Rattus norvegicus: one gene and its partners. The protein of the gene in region 1 interacts with the protein of each later gene in a pairwise test. Links are inferred from orthologs where the notes say so. Each region holds a gene or a part of one and is shown on either strand. Other genes may lie near its edges.

The links.
Region 2: the proteins of Egln3 (region 1) and Foxj2 interact in binary tests that used the Homo sapiens proteins (3 or more experiments, as listed by UniProt). The two-hybrid records come from large-scale screens. The link is inferred for Rattus norvegicus from reciprocal best matches to the Homo sapiens genes EGLN3 and FOXJ2.
Region 3: the proteins of Egln3 (region 1) and Atf4 interact in a two-hybrid assay, tested with the Homo sapiens proteins (2 studies listed by BioGRID). The link is inferred for Rattus norvegicus from reciprocal best matches to the Homo sapiens genes EGLN3 and ATF4.

Annotation. Positions count from the first base shown.
Region 1 is NC_086024.1:77,406,987-77,412,733, reverse strand, and holds the start of Egln3 (prolyl hydroxylase EGLN3), read left to right. Parts: upstream 1-1,718; 5' UTR 1,719-1,904; coding exon 1,905-2,609; intron 2,610-5,747. UniProt on the Homo sapiens protein: Prolyl hydroxylase that mediates hydroxylation of proline residues in target proteins, such as PKM, TELO2, ATF4 and HIF1A. Target proteins are preferentially recognized via a LXXLAP motif.
Region 2 is NC_086022.1:157,717,197-157,723,153, forward strand, and holds the start of Foxj2 (forkhead box protein J2), read left to right. Parts: upstream 1-2,062; 5' UTR 2,063-2,831; intron 2,832-3,252; exon of another isoform or gene 3,253-3,359; coding exon of another isoform or gene 3,360-3,465; intron 3,466-5,957.
Region 3 is NC_086025.1:113,682,218-113,687,807, reverse strand, and holds Atf4 (cyclic AMP-dependent transcription factor ATF-4), read right to left. Parts: upstream 3,128-5,590; 5' UTR 2,944-3,127; intron 2,405-2,943; 5' UTR 2,313-2,404; coding exon 2,093-2,312; intron 2,018-2,092; coding exon of another isoform or gene 1,983-2,017; coding exon 1,159-1,982; 3' UTR 1,069-1,158; downstream 1-1,068. UniProt on the Homo sapiens protein: Transcription factor that binds the cAMP response element (CRE) (consensus: 5'-GTGACGT[AC][AG]-3') and displays two biological functions, as regulator of metabolic and redox processes under normal cellular conditions, and as master transcription factor during integrated stress response (ISR).

The DNA of each region.
Region 1 (5,747 bases):
AATCATGAACTTTGGTTTCTACCAGCCACAGTATGTCTGACTTCCCTACCACACTCAGTGCTGGCAACCCTGAGTTGAGTGGCAGGTCTGTGGTTGATTAGTAAATGCCCTTCAGGTAGGGATGGTGCTACAGGATAGACTCCCTTCCTAATCGGCACAAGTTTTGGATCTAAAGTCATCAAGAACAGCATCAGGCTTGAAAGAACAGTAGTTCTAGCTGTGACTACACTAGAAGCCACTGTGCTCTAAAATTATGGAAATATTATTTAAATATTAAGTTAATATTTCCACAGCTGCCTATCCCAAGGTGTCCCTGCAGATAGATTTCAAGAGGGTCAGAGTGGCTCCCAGAGACATGGGGGTTCAGATAACAGTAGGGAAACGGCCTTTCATTCTTTGGAACTCATTTCCATTCTCTTCCCAATGAAGATAAATTACTCTCCAGCCTTGGCTTTGTTTGCCACTACTGACATGGGACTAAGAGAGCTGTCCTGCAGAAGTTCTCACTGTCCCCCTCCAGTGGCCGTTGAGGTCTTAGACCTCTGCTCGATACTGTCCCAGTGAATAGATACCCTGGGAGGCTCCTCAGTACCTCTTGCAAAGGGTCCTGTCCTGCTGGCTTCCTGTCTAAAATCCCAGACGGTGTTTGCGGGGCCTAGGTTCAGATATCAGTGTCTCAGGAAACTATTTTCCAACCATCTATCATGTGCTGGCATCAATGTTCCAAGGACACTGGTTTCTATCATCCTAGTGCTGCTGTGGGCTTTTGGACAGTTTCTTGAAGTTAGGGCAATTTGAGCCTTTACCCGAAGGAAAGACACCTCCTCCTGGAAGAGGCCAGCTGAGCACAGACAGGGCCCCTGTTCTCCATAGAGCTAGCTAGGTTTCTTCAAAGCTTCTTACACCCTCCATGGTTGACTGCCACTCCCCAAGGACCTGTTTGTCCTCACCAACTACAATAGAGGCTTCTTCCCAGTCTGTCAGCAGAGGGGCCATTGTTTTGGGGAAGAGAATAAAACCAAAAAAGGCTGTCCATAATAAATGATGCTCGAAAGACCCGTTTAGTTTTTCTTTTGACTTAAATGAAAATCCAAATGTGTAAAGATGTGAACTGACTCCCTCCCTCCTCCTCCTCTTCTTCTCTTTCTCTCTCTCTCTCTCTCTCTCTCTCTCTCTCTCTCTCTCTCTCCCTCTCTCTCACTTGGAAGGAAAGGGCATAAGAAATCTGTGTAGACACCAGCTTACAGGTAGATATTTAAGCCTTTTACATAGAGTCTAGTGCTCCCTTACAAGTCCAGTTGCTGTGGTAAAAGCCAGAGAGACCTGGAACAGTGTTTCTTTTGGGGAGCACACGATTGATTTTGAGGGAGAATTTCAGAACCTTTTAGTAAAAAACTTGAGTATGAACATCTCCCACAGGGCGAAATACAAAAGTCTGCAGAATTTGGCAACACTGTCCCTTCCCGGAGTGCCTCCCTATCTCCCTGTCCTCCACCCCCTCCTCAGAGATACACACCAGCCTGGCACACCGGGTGGGAGAAGGTCAAGGGGATTGTTTGTTAATGGATCAGTCAGTTTTGGTTAAAACAGAAGAGGAAAGGAGAGGAAGGAAAGACATCAGATAGGTCTTAGACCTCAATGTTTAAGAAATAAAGTCACCAGAGAGGTGACTAGCCCAGAAAGTGGCAAAAAACTGTTCATGTGAATCTCAGACTTGAGATCCAGGTTTTCAAGTTTGTTAGGGGATTTAATGCAAATCAATATGCAAACAGAGAGCATTGAAAAAAAAATCCAGTCCTTTCTCCGGTCACACACAGGTTAGCTAATGTGGAGCTCGCCCAGATGCTCTGCAGCACCAGCTCAAGGGGAAGGGCCAGGAGGAGGGCAGTCCCGGGGGCGGGACCATGACGTTGAGGTCAAGGCGGGGCTTCCTCTCGTTCCTCCCCGGGCTGCGGCCGCCGCGGCGGTGGCTCCGCATCTCCAAAAGGGGCCCTCCGACTTCTCACTGGGCCAGTCCGGCGCTGGGTGGCAGAACTCTACACTACTCCTGCCGGTCTCAGAGCGGGACTCCCTTCTCTTCAGAGTTTCAAGCAACTTTCCCCGCCTTTGCAGCTAAAGTGGCTCGGGGACCGTGGCTGCCGCAGGTGGTAGAGCCCCCGGCCCGGCTCTCTGCATCTCCGCTGTGCGTTCGCTCTGGGCAAGCCCTCGGTGCGTGCACCCTGGGGGTCCCCCGCCTCGGCTCTGTGAGCGAGATGCCTCTGGGACACATCATGAGGCTGGATCTGGAGAAGATCGCCCTGGAGTACATCGTGCCCTGTCTGCACGAGGTCGGCTTCTGCTACCTGGACAACTTCCTAGGCGAGGTGGTGGGCGACTGCGTACTGGAGCGAGTCAAGCAGCTGCATTACAACGGGGCCCTGCGTGACGGCCAGCTGGCGGGGCCCCGCGCCGGCGTCTCCAAGCGGCACCTGCGAGGCGACCAGATCACGTGGATCGGGGGCAACGAGGAGGGCTGCGAGGCCATCAACTTCCTCCTGTCCCTCATCGACAGGCTGGTCCTGTACTGCGGGAGCCGCCTGGGCAAATACTATGTCAAGGAGCGGTCCAAGGTAGGATGCGTGCGTGTGCCCAGCCGCAGCTGCGCCGCAGGGGACGGGAAGCCTTCGTTCGGAGTGTTGTGTCACCTTGGCTGGGCTGCATCGAACTTTGATTTTTAACCAAGAAGTCAGCTTGCCTTATCTGCCTTACTTGCGTCCCCTCCACCTCCCGGCCTAACTCCTTAAGCAAAAGTCCACGTTAAGGGGCTCAGGTGTCTCGTGATGATGAGCTTCTGCTGACTCTGAAAGAATTGCTCTGGTTTTGGTGATGACCTCAAGGACTACTGGCTGGTGGAGGGAAAAGATATTCCAAACACTGCGACACGCGTGTCCATGATCTGAAGTGCCTGCTTTAAAGCCCTCCGGTACTGCCCTCCACAGTAGCTCACAGAGGCACTCTTAACTCTACTAGAGGCAAGTGTAATTTTTGCCTTGTGTCAGTTGGCTTGTAGAGTTAGGTAGGGTGGAAGGGAAGAGTTTAATGCGAAAAGGTTAAGTAAGACTCCACTTTTGCGCGCAGCCTTTGAGCCCCGGGGCCCAGAATTCTTAGACTCCTCTGCCCTAGTGAAAATTCTCTCCTGTGCCGAGCCCCACGCATCGCCTTTTCCTATAAACTCATGGCAAAGTCCACTCAGACAATCTGATAAGGTTCATGAAGAGAGTGGAGAAGTACCTCTGGGTAGAAAGCTTGCTTTTGCTCACGTAGCCAGTAATGCGGCAGTGGATGGTGATGATTTATCTTGAAAACATTTACAGGTAGATTGGCAGGTAGGCCAGTAGGAGGTGGAGGAGTTGAGACGGTGCATGTAACGTTTCTTTGGGTTAGTCTCTCTCCTGACCATGTCTTCCAATAAGGATAGTCAAACCCTCTCTCCAGGAGCAATTCAGAGAACTTTGCCCATCTGTTGTTGCTGGTCAAGGGACTCTCAGAATCATGAAAACTTCTTCTGGTGCCCAGCAAGGTAGAACATGGCAGCTGAGGAGCATTGACCCACGTAGAGTAGGGAGCTGCAGGCCACTTTCAGACTCGGAGGATGTGAAGGGACTCCGTCGCGCGTCCTCATGAATAGATCCGAAGAAACTCTGAGAGAAAGTGTTGATCTCTAAGTGTTAGTTTGATTTGGAGGTAGTGCAGAGTTACCTGAATTCTGTTAGAGAGTGATAGTAGGGTGTTTTTTTTCCCTTCTATCAGTTTGGTGGTAGACTGGATCATCTGTGTTTTCATCAGGAGTGTTTCTGCACTAAATAAGCTCGCTGATAACCCTGGGCTTCACCTCTGTACTGGTAAGCACTTTCGTGGCTTTGACCTGAAAGGCCAAATGACACTATCAGTTTGGTAAAGTTTCTTCCAAGCTTAGCTGTTAAAGAATTTCCCCCGAGAGGTTTAGGAATAATGTTTCCTCTCTGAGGGAGATTAGAATTGATGGTAAGTCGGGTCCCTAACGTAGTTTATTATTTAGCTTTGACTTAGTGGATGACAGGAGGACCCTGAGCTAGAATTTAATTCAAAGGGAATGGGAAAAGTACTTAGTCATCCAGGGTGAGGAGAGCAAGCTCCGTAGATCCCAGGGTGAACCAAGTAACTTTTTAGCTAGCTGTGAGAATCTGTCCTACCCACCGAAGAGGCATCTTGTCTTATCCAGGCTCTGGCTGTCTTGACTGTTCCTGGCACAAAGCTCTCCTTCACACCCTTCACAAAGTCCACTTCTAGATTGGTCTATTTCCTGGCTAATTAGGACCAAAACTAAAACAACAACAACAAAAAACCAAGTTTCAACAAACAACTATTATAGTTTTTTTTTTTTTAATGTAAAACTTTGATTCACTTCTGTAAGGACGCCCATGGCCTCGGGTCCCTTACTTGGAGTTTACTGGTGATACAGTCATTGTCAAGGCACATCCTGTCTATAGGGGCTACCCTTGCTTCCTTTCGCTTGGCCTGTTTTCTTTCTTACATGCCTTTCCTCCCTCGGTGTCCTTTATTCTGTACTGCTTCCCACAGTACTGATATAGATAGACTTAATTTCCTGCTTATGGCTCCAGGGGAAAGAACCAGAGAGAACTTGTACTGATTTTAAACTTATTTATAACTTTTGATTGAGGGAATTTCAAACATACACACATGTAGACAGGCTAGCATGAACTCCCCCCAGGCTATTTTAGCAACTGCCAGTTTGTACATTTAGTTTAAACTGTTTTTTTTTTAAATAAACTTTAAATTTCTATGCATTGCACTTATGGATTCGTACACCCTCATTACATTTTTTTTTTCTTTAAACTGGACTTGTAAGGGTCATTGGATAATATGAGCAGGACTACAAAGGTGTTGAGAATAAACAAAAATATTTACTAGACCTAAACCATGGGAGAACTCTTAGTAGTCATGTCCCTGTCATGTGCGTGCATGTGTGTGTGTTAGAAATTGTCTGCTTTGCCTTTGTAGCAAAATGGTGTTTGGAGTCCCTCTGGGGAATGCAGGTCCCTGTGGTCCTGAGGAGTATCATGGCGCCCCCTACCCTCAAGTGTGGTCATTGCTTTCCAACCAGCAATGGTTATCTGTTACTGCTCCCTTCTGGAGATCTAGACCATATCCAAGATAAATACTGCTTATAATTTGCTCCCTTTTTCTTTGGCTGCCTAGAGCTTGCAATGGCTGTTTTCCAGAGAACGTGTAATTTATAGAACCAAATGTCCCTTTGCCTGAAGCCTTCACTGTAGAGTGTAGAGTTGGGAACTCTAACAATAATAAATACCGTGTATCGAGCAGTTTGCGCTGCCTGGTGCTCTCTCTCTCTACTCAGCACTGAACTGATTTTACTTATTTTTCTGAGCCCCCCCCCCAAAAAAAAACCAGATTCAAGCACTTAAATACTAGACCCAAAGTCTCTCACAGTCAGGGACCAGGGGCAGTCTTAGAAGGAGGTTGGGGGAGGGTTGGGGTTGCTAAGCCTTGTGGTCTTAGATAAGTTAAGTCATTTGGGTTACATCAAGTGTAAAAACAATAATTTAAAGGTTTTGGGAGGAAGAAATTTATGACAGTACATGTAAAATTCTTAGAATTTCCAGTCTTCGTCCTTGTTTAAAAGCTCCAGGTGAGGTTTGAGATTCTCACCCAGACTGGTCTGACTCAAGTCTGGTTGTAATGTCAGG
Region 2 (5,957 bases), on another chromosome or scaffold:
ATAGGGTTTGTGCTTTTGTGGTACTAGGGTTGGAGCCCAGGGCCTCATGCTTGCCAGGCAAGCACTCTACCAACTGAGCTATAACCCTAGCCCCATCTTTTTCATGATGTAGTCTAGTTGGTCTTGAACTCAAGATCCTCCTCTGTAATCACAAGTGGGTGCCACCAGGCTGGAGAAAATGAATCTTTTTCTTTTCTTTTCTTTTTTTTTTTTTTCTTTTTTCTGTTTTTCGGAGCTGGGGACCGAACCCAGGGCCTTGCGCTTGCTAGGCAAGCGCTCTACCGCTGAGCTAAATCCCCAACCTTTTTTTTTTTTTTAAAGGGCATCAGATCCCCATTACAGATGGTTGTGAACCACTATGTGGTTTCTGGGAATTGAACTCAGGACCTCTGGCAGAGCAGTCAGTGCTCTTAACCACTGAGCCATCTCTCCAGCCCATGAATCTTTTCACATGGACACTGGAAGTGTGGGGAGAGAAGCGGCTTTGTTGGGGTGTTCACTGACTGGCAACTTGAGAATAACATGTTTTCCCAGTTCAAGCCAATGATATATAAGAGGTTTAGAACCTGGTTCTAAGGCCCTTTGGGTTCAACACCTGATACAAAGTAACAGTACTAATTACATAATGGTGTGACTTACATGAACTCAGACACAAACAATATCTTCGAGCTGTACATACACTCTAAAAGGCATGACAGTGCTGCATGGAATGGCCAGAAGAATCAGATGTGAGAACATATGAAGAGTGTGAAGACTTTATGCCTGCACGTTGTATGTGTAATGTAGTTATATGTACACAGAACTTACGTAAATGGCAGTAGCATATATTTAGCCAGAAGACAAATGACATTGCTATCTAAAGGGAGACGTCAAACTGCAATCTTTTTGAGTAATTCAAATATCAAGCGAACAATTTCTTTTGCCTCACCATTTTATAATAGAACACAATTGGAGAAAAGTAAGCCGGAGGGTGATATACCTAAGGGTTTGTTCCGGAATAGCGTGACTGGAGAGGTTAAGAAGAGATGGGCTACTCTGGTTGTATTTCCTGTCCCGGGATGGAGATTATTCTGTAAGAAGTAGAGGGATGTGCTGAGAGACCGTTCTATCTCCCTGTGGCACTCAGGATAACATATTCTACAGAAATATCACTTGACTTTGGCACAAAGGTAAAAAAATGACATTTTATAGGCATGCCGAGGGAAATGAATAATTATGCTATGCACCCTTCGTACACTGTACCGTTTTAAAAAGTCATCTCGCAAATCATTTCCTTTGGTGACTGCGACATCCATATTAGTAGGCAGGCCAGAGTATCATAGTCCCTTCTTCAGAGACTATGCTTCCAGAAACTAGGGCCTTGCACATTTGCAGAGCCGAAACTAACGCAACACCCCATTTCCCGATGCTCATTTCCCTATGACAGACTCATCTATCTTTTTATATATCTACGATCCAATCTTTCACTGACCCTCCAGGACAAGAGTAAACTTTAACTTCACTCCCGGCTCCATAACCCTTTATAAGCTGTCTGGAAGAGAAAGAGGAACCATCAAATGCGTTTCGAAGAAAACTGGGAATACTTGTCTTAGGCGTGGACCACAGCACAATGAGAGGTGTGCGTGGCAGTTAGCGTGGACGCTGGCCCCGCCAGTGCCCGGGACCGAGGGCGGGCGACCCGCGGGCTGCGGGGCTCTGCGCTCCTCCTTAACCCGCGCCGGGAGGCGGCGGCCGCGGCGGCGGGAGGGGGAGGGGCGCGGAGCGCGGCGCCGAGGCCGGGGAGGAGCCGGGGCCTGCAGCGGAGCCGAGCCGAGCCCGAGCCGAGCCCCGACGCGCTCCGTCCGCCTGCCGGCTCCTGGGAGCCCCGACCGGCTGGAGCCTCAGAGGCGGCAGCGCGGGGAGTTCCACGCGCCGGGAAGCGCGGCGGACAGGGGACGCGACCAGGGAGGCGCTGCCGCCCGGCAGCTGGTAACCGGAGCCGGGACCGCGGCCTCCGGGACCCTGCTGCCCAGGCCGGCCGGCCGGGCGGGAACGGGAGTGCGAGGACCCCACCCTTGGGGCACCCAGTGCCCGGACCTGCCCCTCTCCCTTGGGAGGGGGGACCCTCCCCACTCCCGGGACAGCCAGAAGAGACCGCCGCAGGGCACGCGGCTGTCCCTCCCACGGTGGCTCTAGAGGAGACCCCTAGAAGTCGGACCTGAAGGACCTGGAGTGAGACCTCACGCCTCAACGCACGCCAGACAGTTCGGGACTTTTGAGGCAGAGAGAAAGGGAGCCATGCCTGTGGAGTAGGCACCCCGCGTCCCACCCGGGACTCACCGCGGAGAGGCGTCCTGACACGCACAGCCAGGACCCTCCAGGGAACCGCCAGGAATTGGTTCCAGTTTGCTGGAGAGTAGAAGACCTCGCCCCTCAACTTCCGTGCACCCAGACAGTGGACCGGGGCCGAGCCCCTCCGCTCAGATCACCAACTGACAGAAAGAGCCCTCAGCCCCTGAAAGATCCAGTTTGGGGGGGAGGGGGATTCCCCCAAAGGGGAGGAGACAACTCCTGGCTGGGAGAGGCTCCTCCCCTCCTCCCTAGGGTAGCAGGCAGGGTGTGGGGGGTGTGCCATCTTCCCCAGGTAGGTCCTCCCTCTCCCCCTCCTCCTCCTTCGATTCCTCGTCCTCAGGGGACTCAGTTCCCCGCTCCAGCCTGGGAGGCTCCGCCAGGCACTGGAAGAGTCACTGAGGATGTCACCTGTCACCTGCCACTAAAGAGGGGAGTCCCTGCAACCTCAAACTTCAGTACCAGGTGGTTTCCTCCAGCGGCCGGGGGAACCTTGGAGACAGGTTAGTGCTTTCTCTTCTGTAGTCTTTAGACACCAGTAGGTATGGGGAGCTGAAATGGTGGATCTTAGGGTTCATTGGAAGAGAAGGTAGAGTAAAAGCCCAGACCCCGGGGAAATGTCTTCTGATGGAGCCATTGCACTGGAGGCCACATGTTGCTTCAGAGACTCTGAGAAGTGGCCTTTTTAGATTTTGGAGTCCAAAGGGATGGGTCATTTGCAGTCCCTAGAGAAGCTGATGCTCTGAACTGAGAACAGACAACAGGTGCGTTTTCAGGACGCCGTGGTGTTAGTAACTGAGGACACAGCACAGCCAGAATCCCACAGCACTGTCCATTTTTGGGTCTTGCCCTCTGGTGAGTGGACCTGTAGTAAATGACCTGCAGTCGTGGCGGACATTTTATATATTGTATTGTATTTTCCAGGGCATGCCTAGGTCGGTTTAATATTCAACAGGAACCTTCTTTCCAGTCTATCACAATGACTGCTTGCCTGACTGACTGGCAACCGGTCCCTACCCACTCTATCTTGGATGCCAGGAGGGAGGCCCCTACTTCAGGCTGGATATCTGCCTCTCTGTGTAAAAGCCAAGGGGAAATGCGAATCCTCATGTCCCGGGATGAGAAGAGACTGTCAGGGTAATGACATTGGTGGGCTGGAGTCTTTCTAGATACCCAATCTGCCTTAGCACCTAATGCCATTTGCTGACAGTTCCTCAGGAAAAAAAGTCAGATGTCTGGAGGAAGAGAGGACAGTGCTTCACAGCTGCCCTCCACTTGTCCTTCTGTCTGCACCAACTGACCACCAGGAAGGTCTGACCTCTGAGGTGTTTAGAGTTTCCTTCAGGAAAACACCTACTGGCCCCATCCTCCCTTGTTTAGTTCTGGGTCTCAGGAAACTTGAGTTGAATTTTTTTCTCCCTATTATAGGAAATCCTCAAAATTCAGAATCCTTAGAAAAAGAAGGGGAAAACGTGCTAAGAAATCTTCTTGGGTGCTAAGAAATAAAGCCAGGGCTTTATTTGTAACAGAGCTCTGACCTTTCACCTGAGGTCACTCTGCACTTCCTGTCTGGTGGTTGGACCATGTCTCATCTTCTGTATGGGGCTTCCTCCCCTTGGGTTTTCAGTCTCTGCCTCCCTTTATGGGCCATGGGTGGATTACCTGGCTTGCCCAAGTCTCTGCCTGCCTACTTGATCTTGGAAGGTCTGTGTAGTGGCGATGCATGAAACAGGGATGTAGTCCACAGTTTCAATGGCTATGCTGTAGAGTGATGTGCACATTTCTCAGTGGGAGTGACTGTGGCTTGGTGTCTGTGTTTTGAGTATGTACATGGAGAAGGCTATCCTGGTGGTTTTTAGACCGTGCTTTTGATCCCTTAGAACCATTTCTGGCAGGCCTGTAGAAGCAGGAGACTCTCTGCCAAAACCTAGAAGAGGTGAGGGTGCAGATAACCAGTTGGGAGGAAAGCCGTCCCCCTCACCCACCAGTGGGAATTCCCATGACACCCCCACCCCACCCCCGCCCCAGCCCCAGCCAAGTCATCCCAAGCAGCTTGGCAGGCCTTTCTCAGGTTGGACCTGTTTTCTTCCAGGACTGGTAAGAAAGCTTCATCCTGAGATCCTTTACTTCCATGTCTAGAACGGCCTCTCCTACTTTTGAGAGATGTGTCAGCCATAGCAGCGGTCTGTTTCTTACAAAGCACTTTACCAGATGCTGGAGTACGACTTCTGAGTGGCAGGCACAGTGTGGGCTGTGGTGTCGCTACTCCAGGCAGACCACTCATTCAGCTGGCTCTGCTACAAGTTCCGTAACTCTCTTGCCTCTCAGTAGTCAGTGAGGGGCTGCTTGCTTTTTTCCCCAGCCTGTATCTTATGACTGCACCCAAATCCCCTGAAAGACAGGTGATGATATTTCCCCGCTTCCTACATCCTCTGAGGCTTCTTGATCTTAATCAGACCTGGGCTGATGAACTCAAGGGAAATGTTTGAAATTCTGATGTCCTGACAGCCACGGCAACAGACTTGGCAACACGCTCGCTGCACGTCTGATGCTCTGTGATCCGCTGTAATTTTTGACGTTCTCTTTTCTTGAAAGATTTATTTCTCATGTGTTTGATATGTATATGAATATTTTCTCTACACATATGTACACCAGAGGAAGGCATCAAACAGAACCCATGGAACTAAGGTTCCGGATGGATGTGAGCCACCGTGTGGGTGCTGGGAATTGAACTCAGGACCTCTGGAAGAGTAGTCAGTGTCCCTAACGGCTGAGCCATCTCTCCAGCCCTATTGTTCTCTTTTCGTTAAAACTCTTTGGTGTTTGGCATTGAACTATGGGCTGCATCTGCGTGTTAAACACACTGAGACATACACCCGGCCGACTGATACTCCTGTTCTTCCTTCAAAAGCAAAGTCTCACTTACTAAGTGCTTTAAACATACTAAGACATAGTACATAATCCTCACAACTCCTGTAGGAAAGTTAATCTTTATTTCAAAGAATCTTAAACTGGGCGGTGGTAGCACACATGTTTAATCCCAGCACTTGGAGGCAGAAGCAGGTGGATCTCTTTGTTCAGGGCTAGCCTGGTCTACATAGTGAGTTCCAGGACATCTTTGTAGCCAGGGAGATGTAGAGAAACCTTGTCTCCAAAAAGAAAAAAATATATTTTTTTTAACTTTTTAGGTTGTGTGTGTGTGTGTGTGTGTGTGTGTGTGTGTGCGCGCGCGCGCGTGCGCACTATAGCCATGATAGTGTCTCACTATATAGCCATGGCTAGCCTTAAGCTTACTATTGGGTAGCTCAGGCTCGCTCAAACTCATGGTCACCCTCCTTGCTTCAACCTCCCAGAGTGCCACCAGAACAAACTTTTTAGAACTTTTGTCTTCTCTTACGGAGATAGAAATTAGGATACAGGAGAAGTTAAATGACTTGTCTGTCAGAGCTGGGTTGAAAGCCAGGCAGCCTGCCGGATCGCGAGGTGGTTAGTTTGGCTGGGGAAGTTTGCTCCTGGATACCTGACTTGGGTACCATGTGGAGAGCAGTTCCTAGCTGTTGGGGTAATATGGGCAGTAAACGTGCAGGTTCTTGTGGATCTTACAGGTCCCACCCCTTGACTGCACATAC
Region 3 (5,590 bases), on another chromosome or scaffold:
GGGGCTGCTGCTGTATCATCCTACCCACACCCGGGCCCCACCTTGTTCCCTGCCCCCAGCACACTCCTCCTAGATCAGGTCCTCCACCCAGCCTGCCAGCCCTTCGTTGGACCTCTGTCTTAGAAGGCAAGTTTCACAAAAGCTGAGCTGTTCATCTTGTGTTCAGTTGGCATCCCTGATAGTTTGTAGTGCATGCTGAGCAATCACCAGTGATAGGAAAACTGAAGGCCATTCTCTGCCAACTAATGGGCACCCAGAACAGCTCCAGTCTGAGCTGGCTAAACAGTACTTCCAGTCTTTTGTCAATACCTGGCAAGGGCTGTAAGTCACCATGGTGAGGGTGGCTAGATCTTAGCTGACTCTTTGGGTCTTTTACCTCAGGGTGCACCTAACAGATCAGGTGTGGTGACACACGGTCTATAACCCCAGCACTTGGAAGGTTCAAGGTCATCCCTGGCCACATATCAAGTTCAAGGTCAACCTGGGCTATGGGAAACCCTGTTTAGAGCATTGCCAGGGTGGACATGTGACATTACATAGAAGTGGAACAGCTGTAGTTCTCACGCACAAAGAACATCTGCCAAGTGAAGGTTAGTCATTGTCTCCAAGGGCCTCCACCAGTTTCTGCCCCGCTGTCACTCAGGCCCTTCCTCCCCCCACCATATCCTTGTGCTGGATTAAGCTGCCCCTGGGCCAAATGGAATAATGTTGAGGGTGATGGTAGGCTTTTTACCTCGCCTTGGGAGGATCTGTAGTAACAAACTGAAGGGTTGGAGTGGGGCTTGCCACCTGTCACAGGAAATAGTAGCTGTATCCCTTAAGCCTAAGAGAAACCTAATCCTCTTTGTGTTCAAGGACTGTACCTTATCTAGGTACTTACACAGCAGGTATCTGGCACAAGGCCAGTATGAACAGGTGCAATTCTGGGCTGGCCCTCACTAACCCAGAGCCCCCTCCCTCCAGCTAGTCTTTACCTGTCTCACTACCTGAACAGCTCAACTCATCCAGGTAGCTATCGTATTCAACCCAGACCTTGTGCAGTCTATTAGAAAGAATGACACAGAAAACTTCCATGGCTACTTTCACTACAAAATAATTTATTACAGCAAACACAGCATCACAAGACTATGTACAAGCACAAAGCACCTGACTACCCTATTAAGGAACTCTCTTCTTCCCCCTTGCCTTACGGACCTCTTCTATCAGGTCTTTTAGATACTGAATCTCTTTGGCGAGAGAATCTGCCTTCTCTTTCAGAGCCTCGTTCTTCTTTTCTAGCTCTTTACACTCGCCAGTGAGGGCTTCCTGCTCAGCCCTCTTCTTCTGGCGGTACCTAGTAGCTGCTGTCTTGTTTTGCTCCATCTTTTTCAGCTTCTTATCCAACTTTTCAGTCTTCACTTTAGCTGTCACACTAACTCCAGGTGGGTCATAAGGTTTGGGTCGAGAACCACGAGGAACACCTGGAGAAGGCAGACTGTCTGGTGGGGCCCTGGAGGTGGAAGGGCTGTGTTGGGGAGAGCCCAGGTAGGACTCAGGGCTCATACAGATGCCACTGTCACTATCAGAGGGAGTGTCTTCCTCCTTTACACACTGAGGGGTTAGAGTAATATAAGCAGCAGAGTCAGGCTTCCTATCTCCTTCAGAGATATCAACCTCACTTCCCAGCTCTAAACTAAAGGAATGATCTGGAGTGGAAGACAGAAACCCTGGGGAACAGGGAAGAGGCTGCAAGAATGTAAAGGGGGCAGCCTGGTCGACTTTTATTACACTTTCTGGGAGATGGCCAATTGGGTTCACTGTCTGAGGGGGCTCCTTATTAGTCTCTTGGACTAGAGGGGCAAAAAGATCACATGTGTCATCCAACGTGGCCAAAAGCTCATCTGGCATGGTTTCCAGGTCATCCATTCGAAACAGAGCATCGAAGTCAAACTCTTTCAGGTCCATTTTCTCCAACATCCAATCTGTCCCGGAAAAGGCATCCTCTGGGGAAAAAAATTTCAGGAGAGAACGGTTCATACTAGAGGCAGAAAACCTTTAGAACACCAAACCCACATGAAAAGAGCACACTGGTGCAGGTGTCCTCCCTACTCACCCTTGCCGGTGTCTGAGGCACTGACCAACCCATCCATAGCCAGCCATTCTGAGGAGCCCGCCTTGTCGCTGGAGAACCCATGAGGTTTGAAGTGCTTGGCCACCTCCAGATAGTCATCTAAGAGACCTAGGCTTTCTTCAGCCCCCAAACCCGACTGGTCGAAGGGGGACATTAAGTCCCCCGCCAACACTTCGCTGTTCAGGAAGCTCATCTCGGTCATGTTGTAGGGATTTGCTGGTATCGAGGAATGTGCTTAACTCGAAGGTATCTTTGTCCGTTACAGCAACGCTGCTGCTGGGTTTCGTGAAGAGCCTGCATAAGGATCCAAAAGCAAGTTCAATCATCTTTCTATCTAGGATGCTGGATGACAAAATCCCAAAAGCTTCTAAATGGAGAGCACGTGGGCTCAAGGCCATTGTGTAAGCTTCCCCAGCCGCCAGCTCGGGTTGCACAAGATGGAGGCTTAGCTTTGCTTCACCGGCCACCCGGAGGAAGCAGCTTGTCCTCAAGTCCTAATACGGCCAAGGCCGTCGCGCCCCGCCCCCGTGACTCACACCCCCCCCCCGCCCCACCGCCATCTTGGCCTCGCCACGTTCGCAGAATGACACCGGGAACCCGGGGGGGCGCGAGACGACTAAGTTAAGAGAGGACGAAGAGGAAGTAGCAGGGTTTTAGGCACTACTCCCTCCACGCCGCCTGCCCAACCCTCCCCGTGTGCGCCGGCGTTGCGGGGCCACCCAAACAAGGCCGACGCGTCTGGCCGCTTGTAAAGCCGCGTATGCTGGTCAACGCGCCCAGGCCGCACCCAAACACAGCAAAGCACACGCCCGCGCAGTCGGCCCAATACTCACGCCATGGCTTAAGCCGGTGGGGGTTGCCGCTGCAGAGCCTGGTGCTGCTGCCGCCGCTGCAAAGGCCAACGCTGCCGCAGGCTCTGCTGCCTCTAATACGCCATGGTGGCCGCAAGCCCTGCGGGAGGGGAAGAGGAAAGGAACAGCGTACAGAGAGACATCTACCACAGAGCAAGCAGAAATGGCGGCGACACGCCCTAAACCCGCCTTTTATAGAATCGGTGAGGGACGCAGTACACCCCGTATCCTCCCACCGTGGTCACGTGATCCCGCCGCCGCTCCACCTAACCCTATCCCATTGACGCTCTGGCCCGTCCAAACCCTTCTCCGCTGTGCTCGGGGAGTAACTGGGGCGTTACAGAGTATCCTGAAGGCCCCATGAAGGAAGAAAAGTGCACTACTTTATAGGTTTGCGACCAACTGAAGTCACGTTCCGGAGTGCGGAGGGATCGCTCGTTACGGAACTTCCGGTGTCTTACAGGGCGTGGAGAGACACCTAACCAAAGCTATGACGGTCAAAGCCAAAGCTGCCTGGTTATCACGCGAGACGCCGTAGGAGCGCGCGTCGAGCTGATTGGCCCAGGCGTGACGAGTCATCTAAACCTTAAGTTTCTATTGGCTCTGAACCTGGGCGCCCTAGGAGCACTAATATCGGGAAGAGCCACCAGAGGTTCCGGGTACCAGACTCTTACAGCTACCGACTCATCAGAGGTCACCCCAATGTAGTTGCTCTCTCCGGCATCGCTCCCGGGCAGCTTTGGTCCAGCACGGAGCAAACAGCTTTCCAGGAGTGACACTTGGGCTGAAAGCCCTCTTTCCCTGTATTTGTTGTTCTCAGAACCAAATGGGCAGAGCTTTAGGCATATAGAAAGGTCCTCTGGAGTTACCTGGTCCAATCCTGTCAGTCCAGGGACCGCACTTTGAGACAGGGCGTTCATGTTGGGGCCTTATTGGGAGATACTCCGGTTCCTCCAGCCCTGCATCTTTCCTCTGAATCCTGTACTGGGAAAATATACCTAACCTTAGATCTAACCTACTCTAAAATATGCCCATCACTGCTGGTTTGTATAGGGTCAGTTCCCTTAATATTGTGTTTTATTCAGTTGGATCTCAAGCCCTAGAGTAGTTCTGATTAACTCCCAAGTCTTAACTTCCTGGTATAGCCTTACCAAGAAGTCATCCTGGTGAGTGAGCAGCTGCTTAAGTGGTTGGAAGCCCCAAGTACTGGTCAAGGACAACTCACCATAAAGGATGCTGTTTTGGAAGTGCTGAGAGGCCCTCTTCCCAACTCCAGCCTGCAATCTTTTGAGTTTCCACGTCTTTTTAAGTGACTCATACAAATACCACTCAATTGGCACAGTGCCCGCCCCTTACTGCTCAGTAATTATTTGCAAGCCAAGTACTCCAGTACACACAATCCTAGCACTCGGGCACCATGGTTCAAGGTCATCCTTGATTACATGGTTATTGATTGCTATTTATTAATTCAAACCTAATTCCCAAGTCCCTCTCTCCCTAACTCCATGATTCATCTTCCTTCCTCAGAGGACCTTTCATTATTATTTACTGAGACTAAAGCAACTAAATAAATAACGCACAAGGCCTACATAATGAGATGTTTCTATCGACAAAGAAGTCATGAGTACATGTGCACACAAACAGAAGTTTCCTAGTCTCTCCATGCAAAGGATAACTATGTCCTCCCTTTGCTCTGGAAACAGAAACAGGAGCCACAGTTATATTGTTAAGTAGACATCCCTTACATGTTTCTGTCCCCTAAGTGTAATGTATCCTACAAATGTTTTTTAACTTATGCTGAATTTGTAACCCCGTGATGTATTTGCTAAACTCCTGAACCTGTGATACATGACTGCCTCTTGCTATACAAAACTGTGTCTCCCCAGAAACCTTCCACATGGCACAAGCTTGCACTTCTTTTTATGGCCGCCTTTCTAACAGCTAATTATCCTGACAGCTGTTTCCTATCACATGCTTCTACCCCACAGGCAGTCTTGAGTCCCCCACTCTTCTGTTCAGGTGCTAACAGCCAATTATCCCAACAGCTGTTTTCTATCAACCCTAATGTTTTCCCATAAAAGGGACCTCCAACACCAGTGAGGGGCTGCTTGGCTGGCCAGTCTAAATAAAGTTTGCTTAACCAAACAGTCAAGGAAATGTTTTTTTTTCTCAGCTCTAACCAAAGGCTCCTGAACATACAGGTTGGTCATACAGAGGTTTAAAACCATTGACCCTGATTTGACATTATAGAGATCATAGGAGAATGTCTGGTGGCTTCTTTCCCCCCATCCTAATCCTAGCACCATGTAAGAAAATACCTGATACTACATACACAAGTCAGAGTTGTTGGAAAGGAGATTTTTATTTTCTTCTTCCCATGCTGCAGAAGACGCTGTTTTCACCAGTTCAATTCCTCTCCTTCAAGGAGCAAAAAGGAATAAAGGTTCTCTGGGCCTTAGAGCTAAGCTGCTCCTACATGGGCCCAGTCAAGATAGGACACAAAGATTAGTGACTACCAGCTTAACACAATGACCACCAGAGAAGGGCAGGCAAGTGACTGGAAGGCAAGTTGTGGACCTGGCCTGAGACCAAGGGTTTAAAGACTACAAGGTGATCAAAATAAAAGTTG